7 linked regions of the Oryza sativa Japonica Group genome follow. The protein of the gene in region 5 binds, or shares a complex with, the protein of the main gene of each other region. Links are inferred from orthologs where the notes say so. Each region holds a gene or a part of one and is shown on either strand. Other genes may lie near its edges.

Region 1 (2,731 bases), on a different chromosome or scaffold from region 5:
TCAATTTTGCCAATTCTATTCTTGATCCACTGCGCGTTCAGACAGAAATGATACAAATTAGGTATGTGGTGAGCTGGTGACCAACAGTAAGTTTCAGAAGCTAATTCAGAAGAATTTCCAACTCTAATTAGTGTTATTCTGTTACTAAAAGATGAATTAATCATTTAATTTTGTTCACTTCAAGGAGGTTTGCTCTTAACAAAAAGAGCACAGTTAAGTTCATGATTTTAAAACATCTCATCATACTGCTTTGAACAACTTTGTTGTAAACCTGGATACACTGATTGATGGTACAACTACACAAGCACTAGTAGTTATTGACCATTCTAATTGTGCATTGCCATTGCCCCTCAACCTACTAAACTTTGATCTCTGTAGTCTCTACAGGTAAAATTAAATTATCAAAACACTAGTTGTGGAACAAGCATTCCCTCTAAGTACGCAACGTAATCCTAATAACATCAGAACTCGGTAATCTTATGAAATCAGACCAGTAGGCATGCGTTGTAAGAGGTAAAACTTTTGTGATTCAATTCAAACGTGAGGCAGTAAAAGTACAGGAATTCTACAAGAAATGAGTGAGATGAGAGAAACGAAGCCACAAAACCATCTCTCAACAGCCATCAGGCGGCGCCGACCTCCTGCTCGAGCTTGCGCACGTACGCCGAGAGCACGGAGACGACGTCCCTGGCCGGCGCCTGCAGCGTGGTGACGACGGAGGTCGCGGGCCCCTGCAGCGAGCCGAGCAGCTTGGCGTACACCTCGGCGCGGCTGGGCATTGTCTCGAGCGCCTTGAAGTCCCCGGGGGCGTAGAACTTGCCCTCGAACACCGCGCCGACGAAGTCGTTGGTCTCCTCGAGGCGCTCCTCCTTCTGGAAGGCGCGGTAGGGCTTGAGCGCGGCGGGGACCTCCTCGGTGTGGACGAACAGCCACGCGTTCATCCCCTTCATGCACGGCTTGAGCGCCTCCCACGGCGTGCCCTCGATGGCCTTCCCCACCAGCGTGTTCTTCGCCACCAGCAGCCGGCAGGTCTCCGGGAGGGTGTCGCGGATGCCCTGCAGCTGCTTCACCGTGAGGCCCTCGTAGCGGATCCCGGCGAGGAGGTAGCAGCCCTCCAGCTGCTCGCGGACGGCGGCCACCGTGTCCTCCTTGCGGCCTCGGGTGATGGCCGCGCTGATGGTGGAGCGGCGGAGCGGGCGGGGGCGGGGGCGGGGTGCGAGGGTCTGGAACGCCGGGAGGGGCTTCGCGGTGGGGAGGGTGGTGCGGAGGAAGGAGGAGGTCTCCATCTTCGGAGGCCGGGAGCTATGGCGGGTTGGGAGAAAGAGTGGAGTGGGAGAGCTTATCTGTGGGGAAGATGAGGCGGGGGGCTCACTGGATTATGTGGGACCGTATCGTCAGTGCCTGAGAAGATGGTGAACTCAGCTCGGTCAGCTGCACAGAAAGAAGCTTCCGTGGAGATTGACCTTTGCTTGAGGATTTATAGCCGTTCGATCTTGATCCATGAGCGGTTGAAAATAAGATTAAGAGTTCCAAATAAAAAAAAATAGAGGCATAGAGCAAACGCGTATGTGTGGTATTCATAGACGTCAATTTAAACCATAGTGAGTGAAGTCGTGTACCAACAACTCCAATCTTCACTGCCTTGTTCAACACAGCATACATCACTATTGTTTTCTTGAGTTCAAAAACTCTTGATATGTACAATAAAACATAACATACATCAGTGTACTGAATTATTCAACACAATAGATATCACTATATAAGAAAATGACAGCGATTAGGCGCCCGATCAGCGGTAGAAAAATCGGGCGCTCGCCGCCTCCCGCACGCTCCCACCCCTTATGCGTTGTCCCCCCCCCCACGTGCCCCACCACACGCGTCGTTATAACAAATCACCCGCACATTAAGGAAATACTTTATTAAAGGAATCCGTTTCATTTTTTTTTCCACCAACAATGTTTTAGCAAGTGTACTCGTGATGTTTCACTATGTATGATCAAATGTTGCAATGATTTGAAACATCCTTTGCTATTTGCTGAAATATTGTTTTTATATAGGATGAAACAATGCCTGATTTTTTTTTGGAAACTGTTGTTTCATATGTTGTAACAAAATATTTCACGATGTGATTTGGTTGTGTTTCAGCTTTTTTAAAAATATTGAAACATTTTCGATCTATTTAGTGAAACAATGCCTGATTTTTGTAAAAAATCGAGCGCCCGATTTGTAGATGCATCACTATATATATATATATATATATATATATATATATATATATATATATATATATATATATATATATATATATATATATATATATATATATATATATAATTCAAACTTTTTTTTACAGGTAAGAAAACCATGCGAATCTCTTGTACGACGATCAAAATGGATATAAACATTGCAAGGATGTCAGGTGGAAAGGATATAAACTGCGACGATCAAGCAACAGCAGCTGCTCTGATGCTGTAAACACGGAGTTGTTCCGGACTCAGCATGCTCAACGCAATTTCACAGAAAACCAAACATCCGATGCTTACCATTCTCTCCATAACTCGTGTGCACTTCAAGCCATCCCTAACATGAAATGATGGTTTTGATAATGGAAGTGTATAGTTCATATAATAATGTCATTGGTAGTACTGAAATCCAAGAAATAAGATGCAGGGAAACAAGAACGTCTGGTACAGGGTGAAATTCACTTTTAGCTCTGCTGCAGCTCTGCTGC
Region 2 (4,089 bases), on a different chromosome or scaffold from region 5:
GCACAATATAGCCCAGTTCATTACCTAAAGGGCTAGATTTTTCACAAATGCTCCCACTCCTGTCCTTCAGTTAACCGTTATAAATGATGGTTGTTCCTAACAGTCAAGTAGCCTACTTTACCTGTTTTCTCTATTTTGCAGATTTGTTGTGATGCTTTACATAACTGTTACGGAGGCACTATGCAGGCTAAGTAGCAGATTACCATCATCATCAGTCATTACACGATCATTTGCTCTATGGCTGATAAGCCGTGGAAAAATGACGAAGCAACCAAAAATAACTTTTGAGTAAAACGTCTATATCTATGTTCTTAGCGATTCAAAAGCCAGCACTGGAGAATAAAGCACAATAAAAAAAACCCCTCAAAATCAATTCTAAATTAAGTTTCAAAATCCAGATTTTGGCTGCCGTTGATAAGCCAACAAACGAACGATGGAGCTATGCATCCATGCATATCCTCAAATTCAGTTGGCACAAACAAAATTTCAAACCTTCTATCTACGAATAACAAGGTTAAAAAAATGTCTATCAACATGTCTGAAAATCGAACCACTGAAATATATTGCACACACAATGAAGACTACTAAACAAGGTAGCAATATATCAGTAGGTTTTCTCCCAGAAGTGCATCTATGAGGTAAGTACTGAGATGACGTAAATGGACAACTTCTTTGAACAAAAGGGCAGGAGTTCTGCCTATTGCATTGAACGAGGATAAAACAGAAGTTCACCAAGGATCAAAGAAGGTAAATGGACAGTTACCCACCTTTCACTCAGGGTCACAATAACCAAGCAAATGGGAGAGAAAACCACAAGCAACAGTGTCAATACATATAGTAATCTGTAGAATTTCCATTGTACCTGAGTTATGTTTGGAGAAACAGTCCCAGCTTTGGGGTTAGGCATAAGTCCTCTCGGTCCTAGAATCTTTCCCAATCCGGCGACCTGTGAAGCAAAAGACCAAAATCAACAACATAATATGCCGAGCTAGTAGCACACCTTTAAAACTTCCATGCAGGTCTTGCATGGAGCTCAACACTTATTGCAGAACTGCATCCAAACTTCCGAAGAATGTACCAATTCAAAACAGTAGAACCTTATTTGCTTATCGAATCTATTTTCTCTGAGTGAACCAAATTTGCATATCTCCATTATGGCTCAAATCATAATCGTAAATGCTAGACACTTGTAATATGAAGGGATGGATCAGATATGGCAGGTAATGATAAGAAAACAATATCTGATCAATACAACTAAATGTTGCCTGGTTTTGTGGTTCCTAATAACACTGAAACATAACGTGTTCATTTGGATGTGGGATAAACTATGTCGGAGACATGCAAAAAGACAAGTCTTCATAATGCTTGGAATTGTTTTAGACATGAGTTATGCAGCTAATGCCATACCTTAGGCATCATATCAGGTGATGCAATCAGCTTGTCAAATTCCATAAATCCTCCTTTTATTTGGTCAATCAGGTCATCTCCACCGACAATATCAGCTCCTGCAGCTCTTGCTTGATCTATCTTCTCACCTGCAAGGATATTTGACAATAGCCATTACATAGTGCTAGTGATTAGTGCACCACTTTAGTGACTAGCGCGCATTCACATACTTCCATTTCAATTCACTATATAACAGCGTGCTTCCAATTTAATGAACCGTAAATAACCACATGATCAAGCAGGCAAACCACACCTAAAAGACACAACTAGCAGTGACCTAATCAATCCATGCACCAAAGATTGCAATTGGAATTGGTGCTGCGATAACAATCTCCAAAATGTAATTGCAACCCACCTTGTGTGAGGACCGCAATCTTCACCGACTGGCCCGTCCCCTTGGGCAAATTAACCTGCACATCATCACCAAAACCGATCCAATATCATCAAAAACGATTGATAAAACACAAGCCAGAACAGAACGTACGTAACAATGGCAACAGCAGAGAGAAAGAGCAATAACCGTGGCGCGGAGCTGCTGGTCGTTGTACTTGGGGTCGAGGTTCATGCGGAAGTGCGCCTCAGCGGACTCGACGAATCGGGCGCTGGCCATCTGCTTCACCAGCGAGATGGCCGTGGGCACGTCGTGCTCCTTCTTGCTCTCCCTCAGCTTCTGTATCTCCAGGAATCGCTTCGACCTCGTCTGCAAACCCATCAAAAAAAAGGCGAACGCGGCGTCAGCGTCAATCCAAAAATCAACACGAATGGATGAACACGCGGGGGGGAGGCTGGATTCGGGGGGGGCATACGCGGTCGCGCTTGAGCGGAAGGGCGGCCTTGCCGGTGCGCGGGCGGGTGGGGGGCGTGAACGCGGGGCCGCGTCCGCCCTCGTACCCGTCGTCGTAGTCGTCGTCGTCGTACTGCTCCTGCCCCTCGTCCTGCTGCTCCCCCTGCTCCTCCTCGAGCACGGCGCCCTGCGGGTCTGCGACGGCGGCGACGGCGGGGCGGCGGAACGCGAGGAGCAGGCGCGGGTAGTAGGCGCGCAGCGACGGGACGGGGGTGGGGAACAGCGCGGTGGACGAGGAGGAGCAGCACTGCGCCGCCGCGGCGCCGGTGGTGGCGGGGGCGGGGGCGAGGAGGGAGGAGGCGGTGGCGGAGAGGGAAGCGGCTGTGGCCATGGTGGTGGTGGTGGTGGTGGGGAGGGGGGAGGAGATAAGCCGAGGTGGAGGATAGAAAGGGGAGGAAAAGGCGAAGTGGCAGCGCGAGAGTGTTATAATAGCCGGTGAGGCGAGGGCGAGGCGAGCGGGCGAAGCGCGCAGCGGATAGGGCTCTCTCTCGCTCGCGCGTCGCGGGGGACGGGGGAGGACTCGTGCGATTTGGGCTATTTTGGATTAGCCGAGCCGTGTGTGCCCGCGCGCGCGGGGGAGACGGTTGGGGGAGGGTGGTGCGCTGCGGCGCCGCGGGCGTCGGATTGGGCCCAAAAGCTCACGATTTCGCCGTTACTGGGTACGGTCCAAAAGAACCACCGATAATGTAGTGCTATTTACTTTTTAAAAATACTACGAACCATTACCCATAATCTGTTAGTTGCGAGAGTATCAGAAATGTCTGGCCGTACCATCAGAGTACCTACACTCTCTATCCCAAAAGATACAACTTCTAAGAGTGTTCACAGTAGAAGGATGTGACGTTCAGCCCCATAGCCAAGAACTGAATATTCGGCGCCGCATTGACAGTACGCGGAGCCAAATAAGGTTCTCGTACCCAAACATGGATACTCGTTCTTCAAACGAAGAAAGCAGGGAGAAAGGTGAGTTGTCGTGTTGTGGAGGGCGGAGCCTCACACGAGTGGCTTCGCGCAGCGTCGACAGCGAGCGCATTGTCGCCACAGCCACGGGGAGAGAGAGAGAGGAAGGCGCCATCGACGAAGAGGCTGCGACCGCCACCGTATCCAATGATGAGGATGGGAGCTCGCCGTCCGGCACCGTCGCAGCTCGGGCTGCCCTGACAGCCGCCGCCGCTCAGCCCCAGCGCCTCGGATGCCCTGGTGAGAAAAGAAATAGAGTGAGAGATTGGGGGATGAAAGATTTCGGATGAGAAAAGAAACAGAGGAGAGAGAGAGATTGAGAGATGAAAATTGAAAAAACTGTACCGGTGGGACCCACTACTAGTACTTGCATTGTAGAGGATGAAGCTTAACAGGTTCTTCGTCTACGTGGCATATGAGGAACGGCAAAAATATGTAGCGCACTGTGAATGTCCTAAGAATGTTGTCCGGATTCATTCCTAGAAATTGATTTTTTATGGGACGAAGGAAATAGGAACCAATACGAGAGTCTGATAATGTGGTATTAATGGATATCGTGTCTGGTAGTACCAGATCCAGTGCACATACAAATATGATACCTACGATCCTGTGCTGATGTTAGCACCATAAGGTATTCTGTTGTAACAGTATAGTGTTATGTAGTAGTTCTTTTTTTTTTGTCACATGCAAACTTTACAAGATCTCTTTTAGAAAGAATATTGGAAGAAATTGGACTGAATGTCTTAATCTTATGCAATTCATGGGTTCTGAGAGCATCAACAATGCGTGTCTCCAGGGCGTCCCCCCACCCGACGCCGTCTCCTTCCGTTTGAAAAAGC
Region 3 (3,779 bases), on a different chromosome or scaffold from region 5:
CCATGACAGCGATGAAATTGATTTTCATAATAGTGAACCTAAATGCATCCTATTTTTCCTGGTAAAAGATGTTCCTTTGAGATGTATGTCAAAGTTGTGAGCGAAAATTGGAGGAAGGATGCAGGCGTAGAACTTACCATCCCAATCACCAACTCACATACTTTACGTTGTAGAGAGTAGAGATAGTAGGTCCCTCAAGAAGGAATCAAGGAAATGCAGATGTCTCATTGCAGTCTTGCGGCAACCAAATCAATTAAGAGGCTGAAACCCCACTACAGCCCTACATGCCAAAAGAAACTACTTTTGCAAGAACCTCTTGTAAAGTAGTTTCAAATACGGCCTGAACCATATATCATACCCCCAGTGATGATGTTGATCCATTGCAAATTGCAATTCCACATGAATACCACTACTTTCAAGCATCAGATCAGCCCACCACAACACCCATAACACAATTACGTGGAACTTGTGGTACCGGAATACTGGAATAGACCCATCCTAGTCCCTAAAGCCTAGCTGCCAGGAAAGGTACATGCATACAACAAGTCGAACAGGACTAACCAATGAGTTGAACATGGGCCTTGTATTCATCTCACTGTTGATGATTCAGTTGGAATAGACCCGCCCTAGTTCCTAAAGCCTAGCTGCCAGAAAAGATACAGCAAGCCGAACATGGCTAAACAAGGAGTTGAAGATGGGCCTTGTATTCATCTCATAGTTGATGATTTACATTCCAAACATTGTTATCAAACATGGATTGCGAAAATGGAGAAAAACGGGGCAGAGAACTTATCAGCAGTCTGCATTGACCTCAGGACTTTCATCTGCAGCTGCCAACACCAATTGCACCTCAACAATTCCCTCTGCTCTTGCCTTTTTGCGTTCACGCTGCATGCGGAAGTACTCTCTCTTTCTTGCTCTGTAACTGTTTGGGTTCTCAGGTTGTTTCTCGTATGGGTAAACACTTACCTGTAAAAGAAAAGGCAACAGAAAACCACTTAGATACAATTATAAGTAGATGCTGACAAGTTATAGCTAGGATGCAGACTTTCACCTTTTTCTTGTCTGGTCCATATTTCTCGAACTTTACGAGGCCATCGATCAAAGAAAAGAGGGTGTGATCCTTGCCCATTCCAACATTATTTCCAGGATAGACCTAAAATGACCAATGAAAATGTATAAGAAAAAGCAAGAATATGTCCGTAAAATGTGAAATTACTGTATGAAACGCAACTGCTCATAACATGTAGAAACATAGACTATTGCAGAGGGTGTGTGTGGTGGTTCAGGGATAAACTTCAAAGAAGTTGCATATGCATTACTGAAACAGCGGGACAAATGCCAGAACTTGGAAAGTACATCGAAAGGATGCATGCATGCCTTGCAATACGATACAATACATAAGAGGAAGTAGTTTAGCAGCACATGCAACTGTTTTTACAGGATACACACATTTATGTAGCACATTCTTGTGCTATGTTAGTTCATGGATGTGAAGAAAGTAACTATCAGTTGAGTCTTTAGTGCAGAAACAGCACGTCCTAATATCAAAGTGTACTTCCTCCTTTTCTCTCTGCATTGCATTAGAGTGCCTGAAACATCTAGTTCCCCTGAAGTCTGAAGAGTGTGTAATTCTTGGCCACATCCCACGATATTGGTAAGAATGTACCACATGCGGCCACGTCTTAGCAAACGGGTGGCGTTGCATAGAATAACAGACTTTCTCTAGGACCAACTTTGGAACACGATCATTGTCATGCCTTTTTGTTAAAGAATATTCACACCATTCCTGAACTCTGAATTGTGCAGATGTTAGTTAACACAACAACCTCACCTAAATTCACAAATTGTTCAGAGCTGGACGAAGCTATACTATCAGTCAAAATTTGAGGAGAAAAGTCGAACACATGAAACATCCAAGAACCAGTAAGTAAAGGAAGAGGATGGTGATGACCCTGGTGCCGCGCTGGCGGATGATGATGGCGCCGGGCTTGGCGACCTGGTCGCCGTAAATCTTGACACCGAGGCGCTGCCCGGGGGAGTCCCTCCCGTTCTTGGTGCTCCCGGCCCCCTTCTTGTGCGCCATCTGGATCGTCAGCCGCCGCACCGGCATCGTCATCGGCACCCCCATCCCGACCCCGCCGCCGACGGAGAGCGAGACACGGTCAGCGCGGAGGAAGGAGGCGGAGGAGGAGGAATGGCACGGGGAGGAGAGGGACATCCCCTTGAATGCTCCCACCAGTGTGAACGCCATGGACGCCATTGCGCTCTCGAGCAGCGGCGGAGTCGCGAGGAGAAGAGAAAGAGAAGATAGAGTGTGGGAGCACAGCGGCGAGGTGATAACGTGGGAGTGGAGAGGAAGACGTGGGCTCTTTTTTTTTGGGTCGGGATCACCCATTTACGGCCCATCACGCGGTTGGGAATCCCTTTCCGGCCCACGTACTTTGGCCCAGCACACGTAAGCGGGAGGGAATGACGCGCCGGCCCAGCACGTGGGTGGGAATCACGTGCCGGCCTACCGCAAAGCCTTTGTGGGCCCGATGTTGTGGGCTTCGTGGAAACGCGAGGAAAAGGGCCGGCCCATACATCTCTTCTTTTTCTTTTTGCTGGACAAAATTAGATGGAATTACTTTTTTTTTTCAGTTACATTGCAGACGCACCCACGCACACACTATTACACAAGCAACACCACACTCATAGCCCTGCGAATGTGTCCCTTAACATGCGCTCTAAGAGAGAGAAACTAGCGGAACATTACTAATTAATCTCACTAAAATCTTGTTGAAAGTCCACTTGCATATGCGTAATATTCGTGGGCGCTAGGATTTGAACCCTGGAGGATAAAATCATATACCCACAACTCCACCACCACATCACTTTCGCTTCCCAAATTAGATGGAATTATAGTATTGAATTAAACATTACGGAGAAAAAAAAGAGAAATATATTAGCAGAAGGTAACATGGAGAAAAAAAATAGAGAAATATATTAGCAGAAGGTAACAGAAAAGACCAAAAATGAATCATGAATTTCAAAGAGAGAGAGAGAGAGAGAGAGAGAGAGAGAGAGAGAGAGAGAGAGAGAGAGAGAGAGAGAGAGAGAGCATAAGTTGTGATTCTTGTGGCGAAAACAACAAATCAACAATATTTCCTGGAGATTGAAGTCACTTTGCGAGAGGGAGGAGAGGAGTGGAGTTAGGGCCACCAGAATTCCAGAAAGCATATGAGATGGAAGCTAGAAGAAGAGGAGGAGGAGGTGTGGATGAAATCTGAATTGAGTGTGTGGATGAAGTGAATCGAAGAGCCCCAATTGTGAGCAAGAATGATGGCGGGCTTGACTGCAAAGGCAAAGTAGGCTGGCTGGGGATTGATTCCTTGTTGTTGTTGTATGGACACACCACCCCCACCGGCCATGCCCATGCATGATTCATCCTTGACAAAGTGTGCCTCGCTATGGAGTGTGGATCTGTGGATCCAATTATAGCTAGCCCTCCTTAACCCCACCATCCGTTTTCCACTGTTCATCTTCAATTCATGATTAGCCCCCCCCCCCAAATTTTGATTTAGATTATTACCACAGATTATCTACTTAATTATAGGAATAAATTGTATACTATCTTCATTTTTTAATATATGACGCCGTTGACTTTTTCTCACACATTTAACCATTCGTATTATTTAAAAAGAATTACTTAATTATAATTTATTTTGTTGTAAGTTGTTTTATCACTCAAAGTACTTTAAACATGATTTATATCTTATATATTTTCATAATTTTTT
Region 4 (4,239 bases), on a different chromosome or scaffold from region 5:
CTTGTATACCTCTGAATTTTGATTTGGATCTCTTCCATACCCTTGCCGTTAATTGACCGTTTAATAGGTATATAAAAGTCAGTTTTACCCTTCAATATGTGAGGAATATGTAGAAATTTGTAAACTATATTGTTGGAAGTATAAAATTTGTTGTGTGATTATCATATTCATAAGTTTTATGTACATAAAAAATTTAATATATATTTAAAAAGTACATGTAGCATTTTTTTAAATGATAAACATAGTTTTGGAAAGCATTCCTATATAATATATACAACAGGAGAAAATATGTTGAACTACCATAAACAAATGCTACATATACTCTTTTAGTAGGTAAATAAATATTAGTTTTTATGTCATTAGGTAAAAATAAACTTTGCCATGAATAATACCTTGTACAATAAAGTCATGAATATGATAGTCTTATATAACAAAATTATACACTTCCAACAATATAGCTAGTCTACAATTTTTAGATTTCCTTCATGTCTAAGGGCAAAAAGGTCCTTTTCATTAGAATTAAACATTCAACTAACGGTATGGGTATGAAAGGGATCAAAACCAAAATTCAGGGGCATACAAAGGAGTGGACAAAACTCGGAGGCGTAGAAGGGATTGGCTAAACTTTCAGGGGTATAGAAGGAATTTTCTCCATTTAAACAGGAAACACACAAAAAAAAATGCTTGCATATCGCACGGATTCAAAATTCGTTGAACGTGGAACTTTTGGAACAAGGTAAGAGAAATAAGTATATGTTAAAGAAAAGGGTAAAGGAGAAGTACAGTGTATATGAATTCTATGCAGATGCTTCATCAGATTCACCAGCACCACCATTTTTCTTGCTAAAGTATTCTTCTGCACGAGCTTGGTTCTTCAGATAAGATTGTGGTAGCCATTTCTTCCGCTTTGGTACCAGACTTAAAGTACAACCAGCTGCCTCGAGCTTCTCCTTGGCTGAAGCAGAGAATGCCCCAGCCTTGATATTCAACTTGACTGATACATCACCATCTCCTAAAATCTACAGATAGGTTTTCAAAAGTTAGCATACTAATACTACCCGCATGATAAAAGATACAATAACAACAGCAACATTGCAGTATCATTGTACTCAAACAAAGATGAAAGGAACGCCATCTGCTGAACATCAGAATCAGATGTCAAGAAGGAAAAAGCCTATCATAAGGATAAAGTTGATAGCTCCCCACATTATGACTTAGGTCTTGATACCTGTTTTAGCCCTGTGGGTTTTACCTTATATGTACCACATAGCTAGGAGCCTAGAGTATAGAAAAAATCAATCAAATGAAATAGGACCAGAAAGAACAATAAAAGTTGAACAATTATGCTATTCAAGGTGCATTAAGTTCCACCCTTGGAGAAGTCTTTGTCACATCAGTGATCAAGCGCCACACCACTACCCACTATAAGGGGCAACCCAGTAGCACACTAATGCATCTACTCCAGCAATCCGCCAACTAAGAGTGGAGACAAACAGTAAATATTTTGGGTATGTTGGGAGTGATGCAGACATGCAGTGGTACATGTAAGAGCACATGGTTTTGTTGGGATCTTGATACCACTTCATGTTTATGCCTGACAGATATGCTCATATGCAGGCCTACACCATGTGTGGGTTCATCATAACTCATACGTTCTAGATCCTTGAGTAGCCAATAGAAACACTCGTCAAATCATACCGTGTTTGTCCAACACGAGCTAAGAAAATTGATCCCGACACACAACTTTGAGACTTCGAATACTCAACTTGGTAATTGCTGCTAAGGACAGACCAACACAGCAACATTTGAGAACTACAAGAAAAAAAAAGGCCAGCCATTCAATCCACAACATCAACAACTAAAGGATTACCCAAGACTGCTGGTGAACTTGATGAATTCACTGGCAAAGATCAAATGCAAGGCATTCATATTTCAGTTTTCAGTAAAACATGGTCATCTACAGAACCGACTTAAAAAAAAGAAGGATAATCGTCGTATAGTGTACCTTCAGAGGAAGCTTTCTCTCCCTGCCAGACGGATTAATCAAACCCCTCGATTTCAAGGATTCCAATGATATCTCGTCACCATCCTTGAACCCGCCACGCGCCAAGTCTCTCAAATTGAACGGCACATACTTCGGCAAGCCAATATGCATTCCTGCAATCGCAAGGTAGAACTTGCAACGGGTCACTTCTCAATCCCAGCATTTCTGCATTCCAAATGGAAGGTGCTAGCGTGTTCCCACTCAATTTCCAGTGCATTTGAATGTGTGAGGCTTCGATTGAGGGCGAGGAGGGGAAGCGGGAAGCTCGAAGAGACTCACCTCCAGCAATGCCGCGCAGCTTGGGGATGCGGCGGTAGAGCGGCATCTGCCCTCCCTCGAACCCGCGCCGGACGCCTGGCCCCGAGCGCGACTTCTGTCCACGCATGCCGAACCCGCAGCTCGCGCCCTGCCCCGCCGCGATACCGCGCCCCTTCCGCTTCGGCCGCCGCCGCGACCCCTTCTGCGGGCCCAGGTTGTCGAGCCGGAACTTCTCCGCGGGCTCCGCCTCCGCGGCCTCGGCCGCCGCGGCGCTGCACACGACCGTGACGCAGCGGCGCGGGCGGGCGCGGAGGACGACGGACCGGCGGCCGGAGATGGGGCCTGGAGCGGCGACGAAGGAGGTGGAGAGCGAAGTGGAGGCCGGGAGGTGGAGCAATGTGGCCGCGGGAGCGAGGGAGAGGAGGGTGATGGACGCCATGGCGGTGGAGCGGAGAGCGCGCCTGAGCGGCTTGCTGGTGTGGGTGGATAGAAGGGGATAATTGGGGAAGGACACGAGGGAGATAAGACGGTTGGATAAATGGGCCATGAATCCAATTAACCCTTGGGAATTTGGGCCTCTTTTCCCTCTATTTTGTGAATGGTTTCGTATTACTCACTTTGCTTCTTGTTTATTAAAGGATTTTAGAAGGTTTACAAAAGTTTATGAATAGAATAGAACTGAATTTATCTTCTTAAGAAATGAACATATTTGGATTGATCTTCCACACACAATCAACCAAAGAGAAAACCTGATCTTTGCTGTTCTTCAAGAGACTAGTACGGAGAGAAACTGATGGGTCACACAACCTGACAGAGTTAAGTATACTGAACTGATCTATGCTAAGAAAAGAAAAGGTGAAATGAGAAAGGAAGAAACGAAGACATGTACAAGACACATGCTTCACAGGATCGTCCCGTTGCATGTCTAGCAGTAGACAGGTGCAAGGAATTAAAAGTAAGTGTTACAACTGTAGTCTGGATAATTGTACGTCCAGGCCTCAGCTGAAAGAAACTAATGGAACTCTGGCCATCAACCATCTGAAATGTCAACAACGATACCTCTAGTTGGTGAGTTCAATGGTGACGATGCAGCTTGGCCAGCTTGATCCTCTGCTGCTACATGACTACTTACAGGATGATCTGGCAATGAACTTACATCAACTCGATTAGCTTGCACATTTTCAGATTTGTCATTGTCCCCCTGGCTTAGGGGGTAAGAGCCAGCACTGCTAGAATTTCTGCCATTTTCTACAAAAGATGTAGAACTAGCACCTTCACTGCCACTATTGGATTCCCTAGCAAGAACAAGTTTCAGTAACTTCTGCCGCTTTCTTCTTTCGGTTCTTTTATTTATCAAAGGCACCTCATCTTCATCTGACTCATCCACAGAATAGTAATTCAACCATTCAATGATTACAGAGTAGGAACCATCCCACTTGCTTATTTTTCTTTTCTTCTGTCTGCTGCACTCTTGATTCTTCTTTAGTGAGGTTGTTCTTGGACGCTTCGGTGCTTCCTGAACAGTTGTGGCGGTTAGACGGTCCAAACCAATATCCTTTGACAATTTGATTTTCTTATTAGCTGTGTCTCTTGAAGAGGACTCCATTCCAGAAATACCAATAGAGTCATCAGGAGGAAACCCAGCAGAGGTTTCTTCCAGTTCATGCTTATTGCCTTTTCCACCCTTAATTGATGCATGCGCATTGTGCCAACTTCCAGGGGCTGATTCTTCAACTTTGCAATCAGGTGCTTCTACAGATAAAGCTACCAACAAAAATTAGCAGTATCATCAATTTGTATGAGTAGGCATACTAAGAGTTTAAAATGTATATCTGCAGTAAAGAGTCATCTCAAGGCATTTCAACAAAATAGACTGTTTTATGGTCTTAAAATGTTATCATAACTGGAACCTCCTTTTTAAGCCAAATGTTACCTTT
Region 5 (4,256 bases):
CCGGCGCCGGCGACGTCGACGACGAAGGCGGCAGCGGCGGAGGCCGTGGTGTCGGGGTGGGGCAAGCGGGAGAGCACGAAGGACGCCGCGTCGCCGGCGGCGGCGGCGGCCGAGTACTCGGATTCCAAGATTTCCTCCATGGTATTGGTATCTCGATCTTTGGGTGTAACGATCGATGGAGAATTGGATTGGAGATGAAGCGAAGGTGGAAGAGGGTGTGAGGATTTTTAAAGTTTTGGCGCGCTAGCTAGCTTAGCTAGCTTCGTGGAGTCCGCTTGTTTGGTTTCTCCGATGGCGGGAAGGACGAAGTCATGGACGGCTGCATGACATGACGACGACGATGACATATACTCGATTATATACCCCTCTTCTCTTCGGTTTTCTCATCTCGTTGAGCAGTAGACATACTAATTCAATAAGATATATAATCGCCATTCTTTTTAAGAACGATTTGCTAGGTTTTTTTTTAATTTTTGTTCCTTTCGAGAAACAGGTCACCAGCTGGAGATCTTTGTCAGAAAAAGTACAACAAGATGATACTGGAGTATGATATACGAGGATGATATTTTGATGATACTCGTTGATAATTAAACAATGATACTTGATTATACTCTTTGATATTATTCATGAAGATACGGAGTATTTGCTAATACTCGTTCTTGCACATTGATACTTGATGATACTCGTTGATATTTGCTTATACTATTAATACACGTTTATACGTAATGGTAGCTAGTGATGTATCGTTGAGTTTCAAGATAGCACCAAAATAGTGTTATAATAATATATTTCTCGATTTATGTTATAACATGAATATTAGTGAAGGACCTAATATCAAATAATTAGAAGGGGTGAGGTTACGAATCCAGGTCATTTAGGCTATCACCTTGTGGAGCTAGCCGGAAGACCCCTGAGTGTTTCTCTTAATGTATGTTATAACATCTTGGCATCACATGTACTATCTATCTATCTTAGTAATATCGTCGAGGTATCACGTACATATATATCTCCTACCTTTCTCTATACGTTGAGTGGAAGGGGGTTACAATTTGGTGGATTATTATTACGACTTGTTTGGTATGAAACCATGCCAAAATATTGGCAATGCCAAATCTTGAGTAAATTTTGGTATTACTAAATTTTTGTTATTGTCTATTTGGCTTCACCTTATTGATTTAGCAAAATTTGACTCTAATTCAAATAGTTACGTGTTAACTATTCAAAGTTACCAAATAATTTATTTTTGACCTTTAAGTTATCAAAGAATTAGTAAGGCAAGAAGGAGCGCCAAACCAAAATGACCCTTAATCTTCAAGCCCATGACAACCCCGAAGAAAACCTTTGATACTGGGCCGATTTGAAAGGCCCAAAGCAGCGCAAAGCCCAAGAGAGAGGGCACCAAATCCGTTGGGGAAGTGGATAAGAGAGCAGCAGCCGCAGTTCCTTCCCTTCCCCCGCAATCCATCCCCAACGCCATGGCCTCCACGCTCGCCTGGAGCTCCGCCGCCTCCTCCTCCGCCCCCTCCTCCCGCCTCCCGCCGCGCCGCTCCCCGTCGCTGGTCGTCGTCGCCCAGGGCAAGGTCAAGAAGTATCGCCAGGTTTGGCTTCCACTTGTATTTTCTCTCCACAGTTGCAGCATGTATGTATGTATGTATTTAATTGCGATTCGTTCGAGCTAAGCAGTACTAGTACTGACTGATTGAACAAGCTGTTGCTGGTGATGCTTTTGTTTTGCCTCTTTTAGAACTAGCCATACCCAATGTACTGTCTGTCACCACCCTGTCCACTAATCAGTACAGTAGATTACAAAGCGCATGCGACTGCATTCCATCGATCGAAAAATTCGAAATGCAGCAGCTGTAAGCTTAAGATTACTGTGTGCATTCACACATCTGAGTATAGGAAAAGATACATTGCCATGGACGCATGCTCTGATGCAGTACATGGAAATGGAAGAAACTATCGTCATGTTTTTAATTAGGTGCCTCTTAGCATTGCAACTCAGATGCAAAAGTCATCTCTAATATGATTCTGTATATGCCCCGGAACGCCGGAATTGTTGGTTTGGCCATGCTGTTTGTTTGTAGGGAAAGTTGCAACTAAAAGGCATCTAGATACACCCAGTTCAAAATTTGCACCTGTAAACTGTAAAATGTTCCAAGCCTATGTCATCATCTTCCTTGTCTATTATGCATTTCTATACTTTAGCATGTAATGCACGATTCCGTATTTGATTTACTTCACTTGAGTTTCTTTTTCTCCCAGGTCATACTGACAGATGACATAGCAGAGGTGGGGAAGAAAGGGGACACGCTTAAAGTGAGGGCCGGGTTCTACCGCAACTTCCTTCTGCCAAAGGGCAAGGCAACGCTGCTCACCCCAGAAGTACTCAAGTAATCTTCTGTCTTACAGTCATTTACCACATCTCACGAATTGTATAGGCTATGTTTCAACCAACAGATAGGTGCTCCTAGTAAATTAATTGACGTATGCTTATGTTTCATCGTAGTTGGTTTTCACAGTATGCTGCAGGTGTAAATTTGCAGCTATTTATTCTGTTGTGTTAGCCATTGTATCTCTTGCCTCCTTGTGGAGCCCAGGATTGACATATAAATCTGCAAACTTTTATAGATGCCTATTCTGCATTTCTAGTTCAGTTCTTCTGGGGTGTTCAACATGTTCAATTAGTTCTTGTAAAAGGATGGCTAGTAAGCTACTTAATTTCCTCTGCTGCTGTCTACAGGGAAATGCAAGTAGAACAGGAGAGGATAGATGCTGAAAAGAAGCGGGTAAGTAAACCTATTATTCTATTTGTGGACTCAGTAAGAATTGATATAGTTGAAACTTATTCCTATTTGTTCCTGTCTGTCTAAAAACTACTGTGGTAGTTATACCCTACTAATCCTTGTTCTCCAGGGTACGTAGTTGTGGTTTAGCTTATTTTGTAAAAAGTCTAAAGCATGATTTGTTCCTACCAATATCATTTTCCATAAGAGTATAAGAACTTTCATCCAGTGTTAGCATAATCTTACCCTGTTGAGCATTTGTGCTTGAGTAGGTAAAAGAAGAGGCACAGCAACTTGCCCGTGTTTTTGAAACTATTGGGGCATTCAAAGTGCCACGTAAAGGTGGGAAAGGAAAACAGATATTTGGGAGGCAAGTTTTTATCGAGTAGATAGTTCTTTATGTATCGTCTTATTTTACTTGCACTTAATAACAAGTTTTTCTTCTATTCTACAGCGTCACAGCACAAGATCTTGTTGACATCATAAAGTCACAACTTAATAGGTATGCCCTTCTAAGTGCACTGACAATCACTACCTTTTAAGGAAGGATTGCGATGCTCTATTTGCTGCTGTTGCTTTGCTTACCGGAAACTATTTCATGTAGGGATGTCGACAAGCGTCTCGTGACAGTGCCAGAAATTCGTGAAATTGGGGAATACATTGCAGAGATTAAGCTTCACCCTGAAGTCACAGCTCAAGTAAGGCTGACCGTATATGCGAAATAAGCCCTGAAGCTGCTTGATTGAATCTTTAGTGGATGGTGGGCTTTGGATGAATTCTGATTTCACCAGGTAAGCTCATCTGCAAGGCATTCCATTGTTCCTTACCTTTTGCTCCGTTCTTAAGCTGTCATATACATTTCGTCAATTGTGTTAGCAGCTGAATTCATGCAATGATTTACTTGCAGAGATTTTTGCTGAAACTCCAAGGTGCAGTGTCACATCACGGGGCTTGGTCTTTACACATTGCCACTGTCCATCCTACCTGTAAAGTCAGTTTCTTGCACCTTTTTTTTTTTGACAAATTTATTTGTGTTAATGTTATGGGGTTAAATGGGCATGATGTAAACAACAAAGGGTTCAGAGTCTAGAGCAACTGATACTTGTCTTGTAATCTTGTTTAAAGGTGCACGTTCTTTATAGTCATATAGTTTGATAGAGCTACTACAATATTTGGGTTGGGTGGGCCAAAATGGCACGTAGGCAGTCTGGTGGTCGTAGGTTGGGCCGCTTGGTCGCTGTATTATTAGGCCCAAACATAGGGATTTCAACACATTTTTTAATGAAAACTTTCATCTGAAAAAACCTTCGTTTGGAAACTTCCATCCAGAAACTTTTCATCTGAAACTTTGACACGGACTTTATATGCCAAAAGTGTGTGCCGCGGGCAAAGCTGAGCTAATTAGTCATCCTGTTAGTACATAAACTATTTGGGTTAGATTTGTTTGTGGGTGAGGGTGGAAAAAGTTAG
Region 6 (3,396 bases), on a different chromosome or scaffold from region 5:
AGCCTTGTAATATGCTTTTCTGTCCTGTTAATAGAAGAATAATTTAGATAGATATTTGGAAGCTCATTTGGACGGTGGAGCACACAGGTATTAGAAATGATGTGCTGGGGCTGAATGGCTGATGCTTTTGCTAGTACTGCTGGTAATGATATATATTAATCAGTACCATTCTGAATTTATTAGTCTGGTTGAGTCGTGCTGCTGACAGTGAGGTGTTCACTGATAAAATGTGTACTTTCTTTTATATTCTTTATTTGCCGACATTCTGTATCTCTTGTTCACGAGATGTGCCGGATGTAAATATGAAAGTGATGCATGGCTGATTACTTTTTGACCGTGAAGAAGAATTAATGAAGCTTATGCACACTAGGCGGTTCCTCCATACTGCTGAATGGCTGTTCATTAAGGCCCTGACAAGTGACAAGGTCACAGACTGACAGTTACTTCTTGAGGTCAAGGAGGTTAATGTAGTTTATCAGGATTAGGTTGCAAACTGACAAGGAAGATATTGTCCGTTGTGTTTCTACTCTTGGTGTCAAGTCGATCCTCACAGGATCACGGTCGTGGCATTGCTGGTCCTTGGTAGAACAAGGTAGGGCAAGCGCAATGTTGTGATCTGGGACCTTTCAAATCAGATCCTAGTGATTGTCCCCTGGTTATAAAGAACTGCATGTTACGGTTACTGCATGATTAGTTAGGCATAAGCATGTGACGAGGATCCTCGTCGTGATATTCCGTCCATTTTTCAATGTTGATCAAGCGTGGCAGATCTCCTGCTGATCTGCCAGCAACTGTTGCTAGGTTCAGAGTTTGCTTGATCTTGTTTAAGCTCTTCATCGGCGTTTTTTATGTTTGAAGTCATCGTTTAATGGCATACTACTACTATACTAGTGATGTCCTGTAGTGCATTAGAAAATACAGAATGGGCCACATACTCAAACACTGTTACCGGTTGACCAAAACAAGGCATATATCGAAATTCACACACTGCAGACTTGCAGTTGTTGACTCATGTAACTTTACCCTTCTCTTAGGCCGTGTTTAGTTCACCCCCAACTCAACGGTTTTGATGGGCCTAAGGCCCAAATCAACGGTTTTGATGGGCCTAAGGCCTGAAACCATGTCGAACAGTTCGATGGGCCGAACCATGACGAGAAAGCCCACCTGCGACACTGGACAGCAACGGCAGCCAGCCACAGCCAACTCGCCTTATCCCGTAATCCATCCATGGCATAAAGCTCCCTCCTCAGCTCCCACCTCCGTCTCCGCGCACGCTCCAATGGCGGCCACGGCTGTGACCCTGCCGTCCTCGCCGGCCCCCTTCCCCGTCACCACCACCGCCTCCTCCTCCCGTAACGTCCGCCTCCTCCTCCGCTCCCCGCCTCCTCGCCGAGCCCTCCGCGTCGCCGCCTCCGCCGCGGCCGACGCGCCACCCAAGCCGGCGCCGCCGCCGACCTCGCCTTCGGGCATCGTCCTCGTCGACCCCACCGAGGCACAGAAGGTGCACCGCCTCAAGGCTGTATACGACCAGAAGGTGGTCCCCCTCATCACCGAGGAGTTCGGCTACACCAATGTCCACCAGGTGTTCGACCTCTGTCTCCCTTCTCGCAATTATAGGATAGACATGGCCATTTCTTTGCGGAACTCGGGAAATTCGATTGTTGTTCAATAATTGAGCTTAGAGGAGTGTGTTTTGGATTCTCGATTTTATTCAGGTGCCCAAGGTTGAGAAGATTGTAGTGAATTGCGGGTTGGGGGCTGAAGCCGGTAACTCCAAGGGGCTCGAATCCGCCATGAAGGACCTCGCCATGATCACCGGCCAGTGGCCCGTCAAGACGAAGGCCAAGAAGTCCGTCGCCAGTTTCAAGATCCGCGAGGGGAACACCATTGGTATTGCCGTTACGCTCCGCGGCAGGGTGAGTCCTCTGTACCTCTGGCTACTTGCGATGCAGACATTGACAAATTGGGGACTGCAATGTTGTATCAATTTGGGATTTGCATGACAGTATAATAGCCTAAAGTATGTGTGAGAATTGCAATTACTCCATCCAGTTCCAAATTATTGTCACCGTTGGCCGTCAGTATTTTACATTGACCACAAATTTTAAATGGTTGGACGAACGAAAGTTTAATACCTATCTATGTGGAGTAACAACCTTTAATAATATGGCATATTTTTAGGTATATGCATTTTATTTTCTAAAAAATATAAGTGATCAAAGTTCAAATATGAATAGTATCCAGTGACAAGTATTTGGGAACCTAGGGAATATGTTTGATCGATGAGCTTATTTTGGCTTGCTGCAGGTAATGTTCAACTTCCTGGATAGGCTCATCAACCTTGGGCTTCCTAGGACCATGGACTTCCTTGGTGTCAACCCCAACAGCTTTGATGGCCATGGCAACTTCACCATAGGCCTTCGTGATCAGGGCGTGTTCCCGGAGATCCCGTACGAGGTCGGTGGGAAGAAGAATGGAATGGACGTCTGCATCGTCACCACCGCGAAGACCGACAACGAGGCTCTCAGGCTGCTCACCCTCCTTGGCATGCCGTTCGCGGAGCACATCAAGTCCTCCGTGGTGATCCGGAAGAAGAGGTTGAAGCGCCACCACTTCATGAGCAAGGGCAGGGGAAGACGGTGATTGCAAACCGCTGCCTAGGCACGTTGAGCTTTGCTTCTCACTTTGTCAATTGTCATTGTTTTTGCAAAGTTTCGTTTAGAAGTTTGATGATTTTGTTATCTTGTCACGTGCTGTATTTACTGTCAGAAGACAAAATGAAAAGGCTTTGCTTTGGTCAGGTCATTCGCAGATGAGCACTCATAAATGAATTGGGTGTAAAGAGATTATCCGGCAGCATTTTCAAACTGCTTAACTTTACTCACTAAACCACATCATATATATCTCTTTGGTCCCAAGCATCTCATAGCCCAGGCCATTACCCACACCATACTATCATCCTATATCAGTATTTCAGTAGCTACACGTTGGCAATTCAGGCGGACCGATGACGAGCTCTTCTTCAGGGAAGGCGCATGGCTTGCCCGCCGCCCCGAGCTCCGGGCACGGCACCGGCGAGACGTCGGAGGCGACACCCTTGACATCGGTGCAGTTCCATTGCAGCTTCTTGGCGTCCGGCGCGAGCTGCGCGGTGACGTTGGACATGCAGATGCCAGTGTAGGGGTCGTTGGGAATCCCCTCCATCCTGCCGGCCATGGTGACGTTCTCCGCGAACACGTCGCTGTAGTTGATGCCGGTGACCTCCGGCAGAGCGTTGGGGTCGGAGGAGTTGTCCGGGTGCTGGCCGTAGTTGCCGGTCATCCAGAACACCCACTTCATGGTGTGGAGGCTGAGGCCGCGGACGAACACGTCCTTGACGTAGCCGCCGCGCCCCAC
Region 7 (3,434 bases), about 34 Mb from region 5:
CCAGCTTCGGTGACTTGTGTGAGAATATTTCATGGCCTAATAATGTGTCGCATTGACTGATGCAAGAAACCTATTGTCCCTGTGTCATTGCTGAAGATATTGTAGAAGTTAGCGTTAATGGTGACTGGAAGCTTTACATTGACATTTCGTGCTGTTGCACTTGATGTGTAGTTTGTACATGATGCTTAGTTAACATTTTCCCTCTGTTGCACTTGCTGCGGTTGGCCATGTCGCGCTCTGCACTCTTCGGTTGTTCAGACATGAGAGTTTACAATAATTCAGTATTGGAGAAGTTGGTAAAACTGTCAGATTGTTGACGCTTGGTGAAGTTTGATTCTCAAGATGTGTTTGTTACACTACCGTCTACCATTACATGTTTCCATTCCCTGAACACAGAATAAACAGTGATTGCAAATTTGACATCCAAGCACAAGATGATTAAGATTCTGTTAGCTTCTAGTCCAAAGAGAGTGTGAACTGAGAACGGGAGATCGATAAGATTGAGTAGAAAAAAAATTAGCTTTACGAAATTCAAAGTTACGCGTATACAAAACCTGGACATGGGCAAAGAACATCTCCAATTTACAGTAATTCAGTAAACAACAGATCACAAATCTCACAGAACAGGACGAAACACATGAGAAAAATAGTCTAGTTCTTGGGGATGTTCTTGCCGACGATCTTGGCAGGAGCGATGCGGAGGAGGTTCCCGGGCTTCCCTGGAACGGCGCCCTTGATCATGACAACTTTCAGGTCGTTGTCGATCTTGACGATCTTGAGCTTCCTGATCTTGGTCTTGGTTCCTCCCATCCTCCCGGGCATCTTCTTCCCCTTGTACACCCGACCCGGCGTCGTCCCGGCACCGATCGATCCCAGAGCTCTGTGGCTCTTGGAGCCGTGGGTCATCAGCCCTCGCTTGAAGTTGTGCCTCTTGATGCCACCTGTGTCGATGTCCAAGAACCGTCAGTCGCAAATTGAGAGCATAGTTGCACAATTATGCCATATTGCCATTAGATGATCAGGAACTAAAAGAGATATTGGTGCTCTTGACTTCATGAGAATGCTATAAACGATTATGTTGTTTGGGGAGAAACACCCAGGGGTCTTCCAACTAGCTCCACAAGGTGGTAGGCTAGACGACCTGGGTTCGAAGCCTCACCCATTCTAATTATTTGATATTAGGTCCTTCTCTAATATTTGTGTCTTTTTTATTATGTTGTTTGGGAAGAATATACATGAAATGGATAATGTTTGCGGTATTGGCAAATCGTTGGTCGCAGCAAATCAAGAGCGCAATTGCAACGGGTTTACGATGTTATATTCACTTCATGAAAATTATACAAGTGATGCTGATGGTTGCAATAAATTGTGAACTATAACGAATGTGTTGACATGGTACAGGTCTGCAACTCCAAGAACAGCATTGACATTGCCATATTGGCAATGCCATTGTGCAAGTCTAGGACGCTAATCAAGAGAAGAGGCTAAATGATTCTTCCCAAGAACAATTCTGTACACTAACATTGGTGAGCATATGGTAAATTTGATACAGCAAAATTTCAAGCTTGTTCTCAAGTCTTCCTCACAATGTAAAGCATTGTTCAAATTCAGACAGGGCGAAATGGTAGTCACATTGTGAAAAGGGAGTAAAAAAAAATAATCAAGTTTACTGACCTTGGAACCCCTTGCCGATGGACTTGCCGGAGATGTCGACGAGGTCGCCCTCCTTGAACATGTCGGCGAAGTCGAGCGGCTGGCCGGGGTCGTACCCGTCGACGGACTGGAGGCGGAACTCCTGCAGGTGGCGGAGCGGCGGCGCGCCGGCCTTGCCGAGGTGGCCGAGCTCCGGGCGGGTGAGCTTCTCCTCGCGGACGCCGTGGTACCCCACCTGCACGGCGTCGTACCCGTCGGTGGCCGCCGTCTTCACCTGCGTCACCACGTTGCCGCCCTCCCGGAACCCCACGACGGTCACCGGCACCGGCTTGCCGGTGGCCGGGTCGAAGTAGGTCATCATCCCGACCTTGGTCGCCATCACCCCGACCCCGGCCTCGTACGACGCGCGCACCACCGCCACCAGCGGCCGCCGCCGCGCCGCCGCCGCAGCCGCGCCACCTGCGCCGCTCCAGGAGGCGGCGCGGCGGCGCGGCGCGAGGAGGCCCAGCGCGCCGCCGCCGCCGCCGCCGATGCCCACGGCCGCCATGGCCATTCTTGGTGCCCCGGATTCGAGCGGGGATTTGCTCACTCCAGCAGTGTCCCGGCTTCGCTTGCTGCTTTGGTTGTTTTTCGTGTTGAATTCGATTGGATTGGGGTTTGCGGCTAATGCCCCCTTATCCTCCCGCCTGCAGAGAGGCGCTTTTTAGGAATACGCTTTCTTTGCCGGGGAGGTGGATTCCGTAACAGTTGCAAAATACCACGGGTGCATAATAAATTACAGGTTAGGCTAGACAGGCGGAGCTACCTCCTGGGCAGGTCGGGCGACCGTACAGACTCCGCCGCTGATGTTGCTACTATTCTCCATTGATAGCACATGTAAAAATTTAGGGAGTAACTATATATATATTTATAGCGCCGTATTTTTCACCAAAAAAATAGTCGGCATGTATTTACATTGCAAGTCCCTAAATTACATATATAATTTTAGTGTATTTACAATGTAAATTCCAAAATTACATATGTAAGTACTAAAATTACATATGCAATTCTCAAAATTACATGTGTAAGTTGATGTAATTCCCAAAACTATAAATTTGTGATGACACGGATATTTAGTTTTTAAGACTAATTAGTAATCCTAATTAGCAAATAACATTAAAACAACAGAAGAGATCAGAAGAGAACAGAATCGGAGGGATATGCGTACACTGCGATGATTTCTGCATCCGCATCTGACGGTTGAAACAACCGACTGAAATCCATCGTAATTTGTAGCGACATATTTTTAGCAATACCGAAAATTTATGGATCACTAGTAAACGTTCCTTGTCTCCCAGGTTTAAGTATGCTGCTAGCTTTGCCATTGAGACCATATAACTTTACCGAGTTTTATTTTAGATAACGTGCTATCCAGTGTCCTTACTTAAAGTCAAGTGTTTTTACCTAGATCAATTGTACCTTAGCACGGTGCCCCTGTGCACCAGGTGGGAAGATATCAATGGGAACTGAGTTTGGTACAGATGGTTTGTTTTAGTATATAAGTGGGTTTTTGTAGGTTAGCCACTTGCACTCTCGATGACCTTCATTGCACTAACACAGTTCAGAATAGCTCACTACAAAATAGTGATTGAACACTTCAAATTCTATCGAACCAATAACGTTGTTCAAGAATTGAAAGCAACGAGAGAAATCCATTGCCTTCTACGCGAGTGAGATTCAAAAACACAAATCTTGCGCTCCATCACTAGTATTTTCACAATTCACATTTTGCTATATCTTTA

The links.
Region 1: large ribosomal subunit protein bL9c (region 5) and large ribosomal subunit protein uL10c share a complex: the UniProt entries of both Arabidopsis thaliana proteins name them as parts of the 50S ribosomal subunit. The link is inferred for Oryza sativa Japonica Group from reciprocal best matches to the Arabidopsis thaliana genes RPL9 and EMB3136.
Region 2: large ribosomal subunit protein bL9c (region 5) and large ribosomal subunit protein uL1c share a complex: the UniProt entries of both Arabidopsis thaliana proteins name them as parts of the 50S ribosomal subunit. The link is inferred for Oryza sativa Japonica Group from reciprocal best matches to the Arabidopsis thaliana genes RPL9 and EMB3126.
Region 3: large ribosomal subunit protein bL9c (region 5) and large ribosomal subunit protein bL27c share a complex: the UniProt entries of both Arabidopsis thaliana proteins name them as parts of the 50S ribosomal subunit. The link is inferred for Oryza sativa Japonica Group from reciprocal best matches to the Arabidopsis thaliana genes RPL9 and RPL27.
Region 4: large ribosomal subunit protein bL9c (region 5) and large ribosomal subunit protein uL15c share a complex: the UniProt entries of both Arabidopsis thaliana proteins name them as parts of the 50S ribosomal subunit. The link is inferred for Oryza sativa Japonica Group from reciprocal best matches to the Arabidopsis thaliana genes RPL9 and RPL15.
Region 6: large ribosomal subunit protein bL9c (region 5) and large ribosomal subunit protein uL5c share a complex: the UniProt entries of both Arabidopsis thaliana proteins name them as parts of the 50S ribosomal subunit. The link is inferred for Oryza sativa Japonica Group from reciprocal best matches to the Arabidopsis thaliana genes RPL9 and AT4G01310.
Region 7: large ribosomal subunit protein bL9c (region 5) and large ribosomal subunit protein uL3c share a complex: the UniProt entries of both Arabidopsis thaliana proteins name them as parts of the 50S ribosomal subunit. The link is inferred for Oryza sativa Japonica Group from reciprocal best matches to the Arabidopsis thaliana genes RPL9 and AT2G43030.

What each region holds. Positions count from the first base shown.
Region 1 is NC_089037.1:9,831,879-9,834,609, forward strand, and holds large ribosomal subunit protein uL10c, read right to left. Parts: upstream 1,348-2,731; 5' UTR 1,287-1,347; coding exon 624-1,286; 3' UTR 501-623; downstream 1-500. UniProt on the Arabidopsis thaliana protein: This protein binds directly to 23S ribosomal RNA.
Region 2 is NC_089039.1:18,889,689-18,893,777, reverse strand, and holds the start of large ribosomal subunit protein uL1c, read right to left. Parts: upstream 2,801-4,089; 5' UTR 2,622-2,800; coding exon 2,253-2,621; intron 2,147-2,252; coding exon 1,967-2,146; intron 1,857-1,966; coding exon 1,802-1,856; intron 1,536-1,801; coding exon 1,408-1,535; intron 947-1,407; coding exon 863-946; intron 1-862. UniProt on the Arabidopsis thaliana protein: This protein binds directly to 23S ribosomal RNA.
Region 3 is NC_089035.1:41,095,372-41,099,150, reverse strand, and holds large ribosomal subunit protein bL27c, read right to left. Parts: upstream 2,347-3,779; 5' UTR 2,264-2,346; coding exon 1,955-2,263; intron 1,157-1,954; coding exon 1,055-1,156; intron 970-1,054; coding exon 793-969; 3' UTR 501-792; downstream 1-500.
Region 4 is NC_089037.1:6,341,527-6,345,765, reverse strand, and holds the start of large ribosomal subunit protein uL15c, read right to left. Parts: upstream 2,801-4,239; 5' UTR 2,742-2,800; coding exon 2,324-2,741; intron 2,158-2,323; coding exon 2,006-2,157; intron 1,020-2,005; coding exon 798-1,019; 3' UTR 784-797; exon of another isoform or gene 682-783; intron 42-681; exon of another isoform or gene 1-41. Other genes in the region: uncharacterized protein, read right to left, coding at 3,333-4,066, 4,236-4,239.
Region 5 is NC_089036.1:35,818,859-35,823,114, reverse strand, and holds large ribosomal subunit protein bL9c, read left to right. Parts: upstream 1-1,456; 5' UTR 1,457-1,475; coding exon 1,476-1,598; intron 1,599-2,265; coding exon 2,266-2,393; intron 2,394-2,743; coding exon 2,744-2,789; intron 2,790-3,058; coding exon 3,059-3,156; intron 3,157-3,240; coding exon 3,241-3,288; intron 3,289-3,390; coding exon 3,391-3,511; 3' UTR 3,512-3,577; intron 3,578-3,693; 3' UTR 3,694-3,931; downstream 3,932-4,256. Other genes in the region: 4-coumarate--CoA ligase-like 3, read right to left, coding at 1-140. UniProt on the Arabidopsis thaliana protein: Binds to the 23S rRNA.
Region 6 is NC_089037.1:1,440,999-1,444,394, reverse strand, and holds large ribosomal subunit protein uL5c, read left to right. Parts: upstream 1-1,211; 5' UTR 1,212-1,279; coding exon 1,280-1,582; intron 1,583-1,715; coding exon 1,716-1,916; intron 1,917-2,307; coding exon 2,308-2,643; 3' UTR 2,644-2,896; downstream 2,897-3,396. Other genes in the region: probable polygalacturonase, read right to left, coding at 2,974-3,396. UniProt on the Arabidopsis thaliana protein: Binds 5S rRNA, forms part of the central protuberance of the 50S subunit.
Region 7 is NC_089036.1:1,980,082-1,983,515, forward strand, and holds large ribosomal subunit protein uL3c, read right to left. Parts: upstream 2,301-3,434; 5' UTR 2,207-2,300; coding exon 1,675-2,206; intron 942-1,674; coding exon 652-941; 3' UTR 501-651; downstream 1-500. UniProt on the Arabidopsis thaliana protein: One of the primary rRNA binding proteins, it binds directly near the 3'-end of the 23S rRNA, where it nucleates assembly of the 50S subunit.